Linked DNA regions of Mus musculus. The protein of the gene in region 1 binds, or shares a complex with, the protein of each later gene. Links are inferred from orthologs where the notes say so. Each region holds a gene or a part of one and is shown in the gene's direction. Other genes may lie near its edges.

Evidence for each region.
Region 2: Ccdc114 (region 1) and Ttc25 share a complex: the UniProt entries of both Homo sapiens proteins name them as parts of the outer dynein arm-docking complex. The link is inferred for Mus musculus from reciprocal best matches to the Homo sapiens genes ODAD1 and ODAD4.

The regions. Positions count from the first base shown.
Region 1 is NC_000073.6:45,927,179-45,930,735, forward strand, and holds part of Ccdc114 (coiled-coil domain-containing protein 114), read left to right. Parts: intron 1-1,345; coding exon 1,346-1,445; intron 1,446-1,612; exon of another isoform or gene 1,613-1,653; intron 1,654-1,888; coding exon 1,889-2,078; intron 2,079-3,557. UniProt on the Homo sapiens protein: Component of the outer dynein arm-docking complex (ODA-DC) that mediates outer dynein arms (ODA) binding onto the doublet microtubule. Involved in mediating assembly of both ODAs and their axonemal docking complex onto ciliary microtubules.
Region 2 is NC_000077.6:100,544,126-100,548,459, forward strand, and holds the start of Ttc25 (tetratricopeptide repeat protein 25), read left to right. Parts: upstream 1-1,482; 5' UTR 1,483-1,675; coding exon 1,676-1,783; intron 1,784-4,334. UniProt on the Homo sapiens protein: Component of the outer dynein arm-docking complex (ODA-DC) that mediates outer dynein arms (ODA) binding onto the doublet microtubule. Plays an essential role for the assembly of ODA-DC and for the docking of ODA in ciliary axoneme.

The DNA.
Region 1 (3,557 bases):
GCCTAGTTACAGCAGAAGACTCCAGTGTATTGGAGATGTCAGCACCATGGGATGATCACCAAGCACAGCAGCAGCAATGGAGTGGAGTCAACCAGAGCCTAGAGTGCTACAGAGAGCAGAGCTGGAGATGTGATCCAAGCCCTTTGGAGGAGCCCAGAAGATCATGTGGGGATCCCAGACATTGGAACAAGAAGCTGCAAAGTTGAAGTTGCCTTGGAGACCCCAAGATGTTTGAAATGCCAGGGAATACCTTCTGAAGAAAGCTGCTAACAGGGAGTGGAACCAGCCCAGGAGAAAGAAGTTTGTTGCAGTCAACAAAGCAGAGAAGAGTTGGAGATCTGAAGAACACTTTGACATAGAGATGTAGAGTTTGGAGTTTGCCCAGCTGGCTTTTGATCTTGCTTTGGGATTGCAGTTAAGTGATTGGATGCACATCAGACGAGACTTTGAACTTCAGGCTTTTAACATTGTTGAGACTGTTATAGACTATGGGGACATTTCTAGTTGGACTAAATGTTTTAGTGTCATGCTGTGTCTAGGTGTGGTCCCCATAGAATCATGTGTTTGAACAAGCCTAGGGGAGTCAGAGAGTAGAATGTGGTGGTTTGAATATGCTTGGCCCAGAGAGTGGCACTATTAGGAGGCGTGGCCTTCTTGGAGTAGGTATAGCCTTGTTGGAGGACTTGTGTCACTGTGGGGGTGGATTTTGAGACCCTCCTCCTAGCTGCCTGGGAGTCAGTCTTTTCCTGTTTGCCTTTGGAACAAGATGTAGAGCTCTCAGCTCCTCCAGCACCATGCCTGCCTGGATGCTGCCATGCTTCTTGGTATGATGATAATGTACTGAACCTGTGTGCCAGCCCCAATAAAATGATGTCCTTTTTAAGAGTTGCCTTGGTCATGGTGTCTCTTCACAGCAATGGAAACCCTAACTAAGACAGATGGGTATGGCAGGCTCTTCTGGCCTTAGACTGAGGCATCTAAGAGGAAGGAAGGGACCATTCTGGGTGTAGGAAGTCCTTGAGGATTTTGTAGGGAGATGAGTGGGAGGCTGGGTGAAGCCCAGAGGATAGTAGGAGAGAGGCCACTGCAGTCCAACAGAAAGCTAGGAGGGAGCCTCTTTCTCTAGTCCCAGGTGTTTTAGACCAGGGGGCATCCTTAAGCCAGAACAGCTGGGATGGGAATGGGTCAGTTTGACTACTGGGAACACAGGGACTGAGATGAGGTTCCATAGGATGCCAGGGCTGGGACTGGGGTACAGTTGTAGTTTTTGAGATCCTAAAGGGACCCTCTGGGGAGATCTGACAGTCCTGATCCCTTTGAGTCCTTTGCCTGGTCTCATCCACAGTGGATGGGGAGCTCAGCCGCCTGCAACGGCAGTGCAAGATGATGGAGTTGGAAAGGCGGGCATACAGCAAGGAAGTTCATCAGCGCCTCAGGAAGCAAGTGTAAGCTGGGGAAAAGAACAGAAAAGGGACTTCTGAGCCCTGGGAGGAGGGGAGGAGGGGAGGAGGGGAGGAGGGGAGGAGGGGAGGAGGGGAGGACGGGAGGAGGGGAGGAGGGGAGGAGGGGAGGAGGGGAGGAGGGGAGGGGAAGTACAGGGGTGGGGAAGGAGCCGGGACAGGGGAGTGGTTCATGAAAGGGACAGGATAAAAGGTAGGAACAGGAGGAGGTGCAGGGCCTGAGAGTTGCAGGATCTCTGGAGAGTCCAGTGCTGGGGTAGAGAAGAGACGGGATTGGGAAAAACAGGGTCTGGGGCGGGGTGGGGGGTGGGGGGTGGGAGGTGGGGGTGGGGAGGTGGGGTGTCGGGGCTCAGTGAGGGGCGCCGGCTGGAACTGGTTGAGTGCTGCCACTTGCTGGTGCGGACCACCTGCTCCTCCCGGTTGGACAGCGAGGAGATTCGGCAGCTGGAGATGCTTCGAGCCAAGCTCCAGACGCAGATTAACGTAGCGCAGAGCCAGGTCAAGCGACTGGGAGACAAGAAGCATTTGGCGGAAATGGAATGTCTTCTCAAGTCTCGGGCCCAGGTGCAGGTGGAAATCGAGGCGCTGCAAGAGCAGAACCGGGCCCTGGACAAGCAGGTGGGTTCTCCGAGTTGGCCGCCATCCTATCAGACCTTGTAGTAACTGTTCTAAGTCTTGGCGATCTTATCTGAAAAATGGAGCCCAGAGCTCCACCCAGAGCCAGGGATGGTGTGTTAACTGTAAAGCCAACATCCTGAAAAACTGAGGCAGGGGGGTTGCTGTAAGTTCAAGGCTACAGGCTGCGAATCCCACCTCCCATTCCTGCAATGTGCCAAGCAAAAGAAACTATTCCCAAATTCACACTAAATTTTAGCTGGACTGTGGACCTATTTGAATACTTTTAGCCACCGGAGAAGAATGTTTTGTTTGTTTGTTTTGCTTTGCTTTTTTGAAACAAGGTCTTATTATGGTGTCTTGTAACTAGGTGTATAGACCAAGCTATACTAAACTCATAGAGATCTGACTCTGCCTTCCAAGTAAAGGCGTGGGCTACCATGCGGGACCCTGGGAGGCATTTTTGAACTAGTGGTACCTAAACTTCCTTTGTCTTGGAGCTCTTAATTTCTAAGTAAGGTTTTTGTTGTTGTTTTATTTTTAAAGTTTTTTTGTTTGTTTGGTTTTGGTTTTTAAATTTTTGTTATGTATACAATGTTCTGCCTGCATGTATGCCTGCATGCCAGAAGAGGGCACCAGATCTCATTATAGATGGTTAGACCCATCTATAATGTGGTTGCTTGGAATTGAACTCAGGACCTCTGGAAGAGCTCCCAGTGCTCTTAATGTCTGAGCCATCTCTCTAGCCCTTTAAAAAAATTTTTTTTTAATCTTTATGTACACTGGTGTTTTCCCTTCATGTCTGTGTAAGAGAGTCAGATCCACTGGGACTTGAGTTACAGACAGTTGTGAGTCACCACGTGGGTACTGGGAATTGAACTCGGGTCCTCTAGAAGAGCAGCCAATGCTCTTAATCACTGAGCCATCTCTCCAACCCTTTGGTGTTTCATTTTTGTTTTTTTCTGAGACAGGGTTTCTCTGTGTAGCCCTGGCTGTCCTGGAACTCACTCTGTAGACCATGCTGTCCTCAAACCCAGAAATCCGCCTGTCTCTGCCTCCCAAGTGCTGGGATTAAAGGCGTGTGCCACCTTGCCCAGCCGGTTCTCTATTTTTTGAAGAGAGCATTGGTTCCCATTACAGACGGTTGTGAGCCACCATGTGATTGCAGGAAATTGAATTCAGGACCTCTAGAAGAACAGTCAGTGCTCTTAACTGCTGAGCCATCTCTCCAGCCCCTGTTGGTTTTGTTTGTTTGATTTTTGTTTTGTTTTGGTTTTATTGTGAGAGAATCCTCAAGAAGTCAAAGCCATGATGAGAGGCAGCTCTGAGAACTCAAAGCCTTGATTTGCAGCTTGACTGATTGTTATACTTGCTGACATTCTTTTGTTTGTTTGTCTTTTGTTGTTGTTGGTTTTTGTTTTTTTGTTTTTTTTGAGACAGGGTTTCTCTGTATAACCCTGGCTGTCCTGGAACTCACTCTGT
Region 2 (4,334 bases), on another chromosome or scaffold:
GAAACCCTGTCTCGAAAAACAAAACAAAACAAAACAAAAGAACAACAACATCAACAACCAACAAGGGTATTGGCACTAATGAAAGTCTCTGACTTTACCACATTTTCCCAAGTAATCAGTTATGGTGGCTTGAGACAGAGACTCCCCTGTTACTTGGGCTGGCCTTCACCTCACTATGTAACTGAGGCTGCCTTGAACTTGTGGCAATCCTGCTTCAGTCTCTCAAGTGCTAGAATTACAGATGTTGTGCTCATTTGTGTTTATACATTTGCCAGTAAGGACATCTTTTTTAGAGACTGAAAACGGTTTGCTTTGCTCCTACTGTGTGCTGGATTCTGTTCCTAATACATGCCCATTAAGCTGGATCCTGTTTCTGTTTTTGTGTTTGAAACTCGCTGTGTAGCCAGGGCTGGCCTGGAACTTGTTATGGAGACCAGAAAGCCTGTATCTCACAACCAACCTCCTACCTCTGTCTCTGGAGTAAGAAAATTAAAGACCCAGGCCACCAAGCCTGGCTCAGCTGAATTCTGGAAAGACAGTTTAAGACAAGATTCTGGGCTGGAGAGATGGCTCAGGGATTAAGAGCACTGGTGCTCTTGCAGAAGACCCAGGTTTAACTCCTAGCACCCAAGTGGTGGCTCAAAATCATGTATAACTCCAAGACTGTTTTAAAAAACCAATATAGTTGAGGCAGTTAACTGAGCTAGCTATCTAAGATATTATGGGTACTTAGAGGTACTGCTGTGTCTGTGTGGTGTGTGTGTGTGTGTGTGTGTGTGTGAACATGTGTGTGCTTGTGCACATGTGAATGTAGATGCCAGGGGACACTTCAGGAATGCATGTCTTTCTGTCTCTCCAGGGCTGGCTAATACAAGATGGTGCCATCACACTGGGCTGTACCAGGGTTGGGGGAACTGAAACAGAGAGCTGCATGCTTAGCATGCGCTTTACCAACTGAGTTATCCCCACAGCCATTACTCCTGAATGGCTGCAGAATTATGTCAGGCTAGACCTTAGTTTAGACTTGCTATTAGCAAGTGTTCCATAACTATGTGACATTGAAAGCTAAACCCATCACACTTTCCATTGCATTCTCATGCAAATCCTCACGTCCCTGAGGGCTCTATTATTTTCCTGTTCATTTGGCAGGTAGAACGCGTACTTTTCAGTTCCCTAATGTGCTTGGTCAAGGATCACGCAGCTAAGAAGTGACAAGAGAGAAGGCTGCCCAAGCCCTCTGACTCCGGTTCCAAAATTCTCTCTCCTTCCTAATGGGACCTGGAGTGCTTAAGCCTTAATCCTACTTGGAATTTTGCCTCCAATTCTCATTTTCTTGGCTTGCTTTGTCTGCGAGGCTTTCCACGTGGCAACTGGAGGGGAGAAGCAACCTACAAGCAAACAGCGATCACTCTGGAGCGCCAGCGTCCTGCAGCCGCCGGCCACGCGCTCAGCACTTGTCTGACCGGTGTGCGCAGCGTGGCGACACAGGCGCATGAGCACGCTGGGCGGGCTCACCCGGAGGCCTAACACCGCCAGGGGAGGGGAGGGGAGGGACCGGAAGTTAGACTATCTCTCTAGGTTGCTAAGAGACCGGGCTGTCCCAAAACAAGCCGGCGATTCTCCAGCCTCTTTTCCTTTCTGAATCTGCTTCAGAATTTCCAAAAGTAGGGTGACCATGTCGGACGGTGATATCTTAAGAAGCACTTTTCCCTCTTACATGGCAGAGGGGGAGAGGCTTTATCTGTGCGGGGAGTTCACTAAGGCCATTCAAAGCTTTACCAACGTGAGTTGCGCTTTGATCCTATTACTGTGTTGCCTTCCTCTTTTCCCCTCCTCCCTTTCCCTCTCTTCCTCCTCCCCTTCTTCTTTCCCTTCCCCTTCCTTCTCCTCTCCCCTCTTCTTTTTTTCTCTTCTTTCCTCTCTCAACCTCCTCCCCGCCTCCGCTCCTCTTTTGAGATAGACACTTGTTCTGTAGACCAGGGTGGTCTCGAACTACCCCTACTTCCTGAGAGATGACTTCCAATGTGCACCCTCATTCCCAACTTATGATTTGAAAGGAAGGTGCCCTCCTTATGTCCTCTGGAGGCCAACTCCCTATCTTGCAGTTGGCCTCTGGAATGATGGAACCCCAGCTTGCTACCTGGACCCACCACCATTGTGTTGTTGATGAAAGATTTGTGTGTATGTATACCACATGCATGCCTGGTACTTTTGGAAGCCAGAAGAGGGAACTGGATCCCTTGGAACTGGAGTTACAGGCAGTTATGTAGCACCAAATGGGTGCTGGGATCCAGATCTGGGTCCTCTACAGGAATAGTAAGTGCTGTTAACCAATAAATCAACACGATACCACCCCCCACCACACACACACACACACTTCACCACTTAAAGAAAAATATTTGTATGTGATGGGTGTTTTGCCAGCATGCATGGACCACATGCATACTTCCCTCTTAGAGTGTGGAAATGGACTGAGGGGTGTGAGCTGCCATGTAGGTGCTGGGACTTGAACCTGGGTCCTCTGGAAGAGCAGGCAGTCAGTCAGTTAGTGTTCTTAGCTGCTAAAAAATCTCCAGTCCCACCCAATTACCATTTTTTTTTCATCACCAGCAGCCCTGAGGTCCATTTTGTGGATATCATACTCCTGGTTCCCATGATATGCCACTGTCACACATAAACCCTGACTTTTGCCATTTTCTCTTATAGTTTCTCACTAATGCCTGCCAGTTGGAGACATAATGTGACCAATCATTAAATGTTTCATGATTACCTTTCTCTTGATAAATTCAGTCTCCCATCCTTAGCCACAGATTGCCCAAGAAGCTAAATGTAGAAGTCTTTGGCACAGGCTTGCCTGTAAGAAAGTTGTCGGTGAAGTTAGGGCGTACTGTAGTAACCTTATTGAAAATTACACCATTGTACCCTACAGGGATTGGGAGTCGTTTTAGGATATTAGACTCACTGCTCTAAGCAGTGTGTGTCCGTCTAGGATGTCGGGGAGCGGAAGGGGTTACTATTGTTTTCTTTGTATATATGAGGAAGTGAATATAAAAGTTAGGTAACATGCCCAAGGTCACTGCACTGAACTAGCTGGAGTAGTGGAGGAAGGATCCTGTGAGCCAAGCATTCAGACTCCAGTTGCCTGGGGTGCCAACCTCCAGACTGCAAGGTGTTCTGATAACCTTTTCCTTTGCAGGGCTGGAGACAGTGCTTAGCTGGGTAGAGTGTTTGCCTTGTGTGCATGAAGCCCTGGTTTGATCCTGCTTTTGAGTGTGTTGTCCCACACTTTCAGTCCCAGCAGCTGGCAGGTAGAGAGAGAGAAGGAACAGAGATTTAAGATCATCTATGGCTACTTAGCAAGGTCAGGGCCAGCGTGGAATACTGGAGATCCTGCCTCCAGAACAGAATAACCATTTCCTTTGCTAGAAACTATACTTTTCTTTTGGGGTGCTGGTGCTCCGACCCCACATGCTTGCCAGTTGCTCTTCTTCTGAGTAACATGAGGAGCCCATAGCCTCCTTCCTTCCTTCCTTCCTTCCTTCCTTCCTTCCTTCCTTCCTTCCTTCCTTTCTTCCTTCCTTCTTTCTTCCTTCCTTTCTCAAGACGGGACTTCTCTGTATAGCCCTGACCATCCTGGAATTTGCTCTGTAGACTGGGTTATTTCGAACTCAGAGATCCTCCCGCCTCTGCCTCCTCAGTACACACCTGAGAACTGAAGGCGTGCACCACCACACCCAGCTCTACTTGGCATAGCATCGGGGCATGGTGGTACTTGTAAATCCCAATATTCAGGGTGCTGAGACAGGAGGATTTTGAGTTTGGGGCTGGCCAGGGCTACATAGTGAGTTCAAGACACGCCTGAGCTAAACTGGCAAAACTGTTTCCAAAGAACCAAATTAAAGCAAACCCTTAAACGGAGTGTCAGCCCACTAACCAATCCCAAGACTTCCCTCAAGTCCAGCTTCTCTACCATCCCCCAATCTTTCACCTCTTTCCCTAGTCACAGCCTCTAAGAGAAATGACGACCTGATGGGCATATGGAGTTAGGAGTTCCGCCAGTTCCCCTCTCTCATGGAGCAATCTGGTCCTAGAGAAGCTGAGACAGAAAGTAAAGATGGCCCCAAGGGCAGGTTAGGAAGCCCTCCCATTCTAGGAAAGATAGCAGCTGCTTCCTCTTCCTAGAAAAGAAGGAAGGTCTTAGAGAGGGCAGACTTGGTCTGACGCCTAGGGGATCACGTCTGTCTTTCCTGGCACCAGTTTCTAGTGCAGAGCCACCTTCCCTTGGGGCAATGTTCTCTTCTGTCTTGGTTACCCCTGGACCAGGGCAGACATTC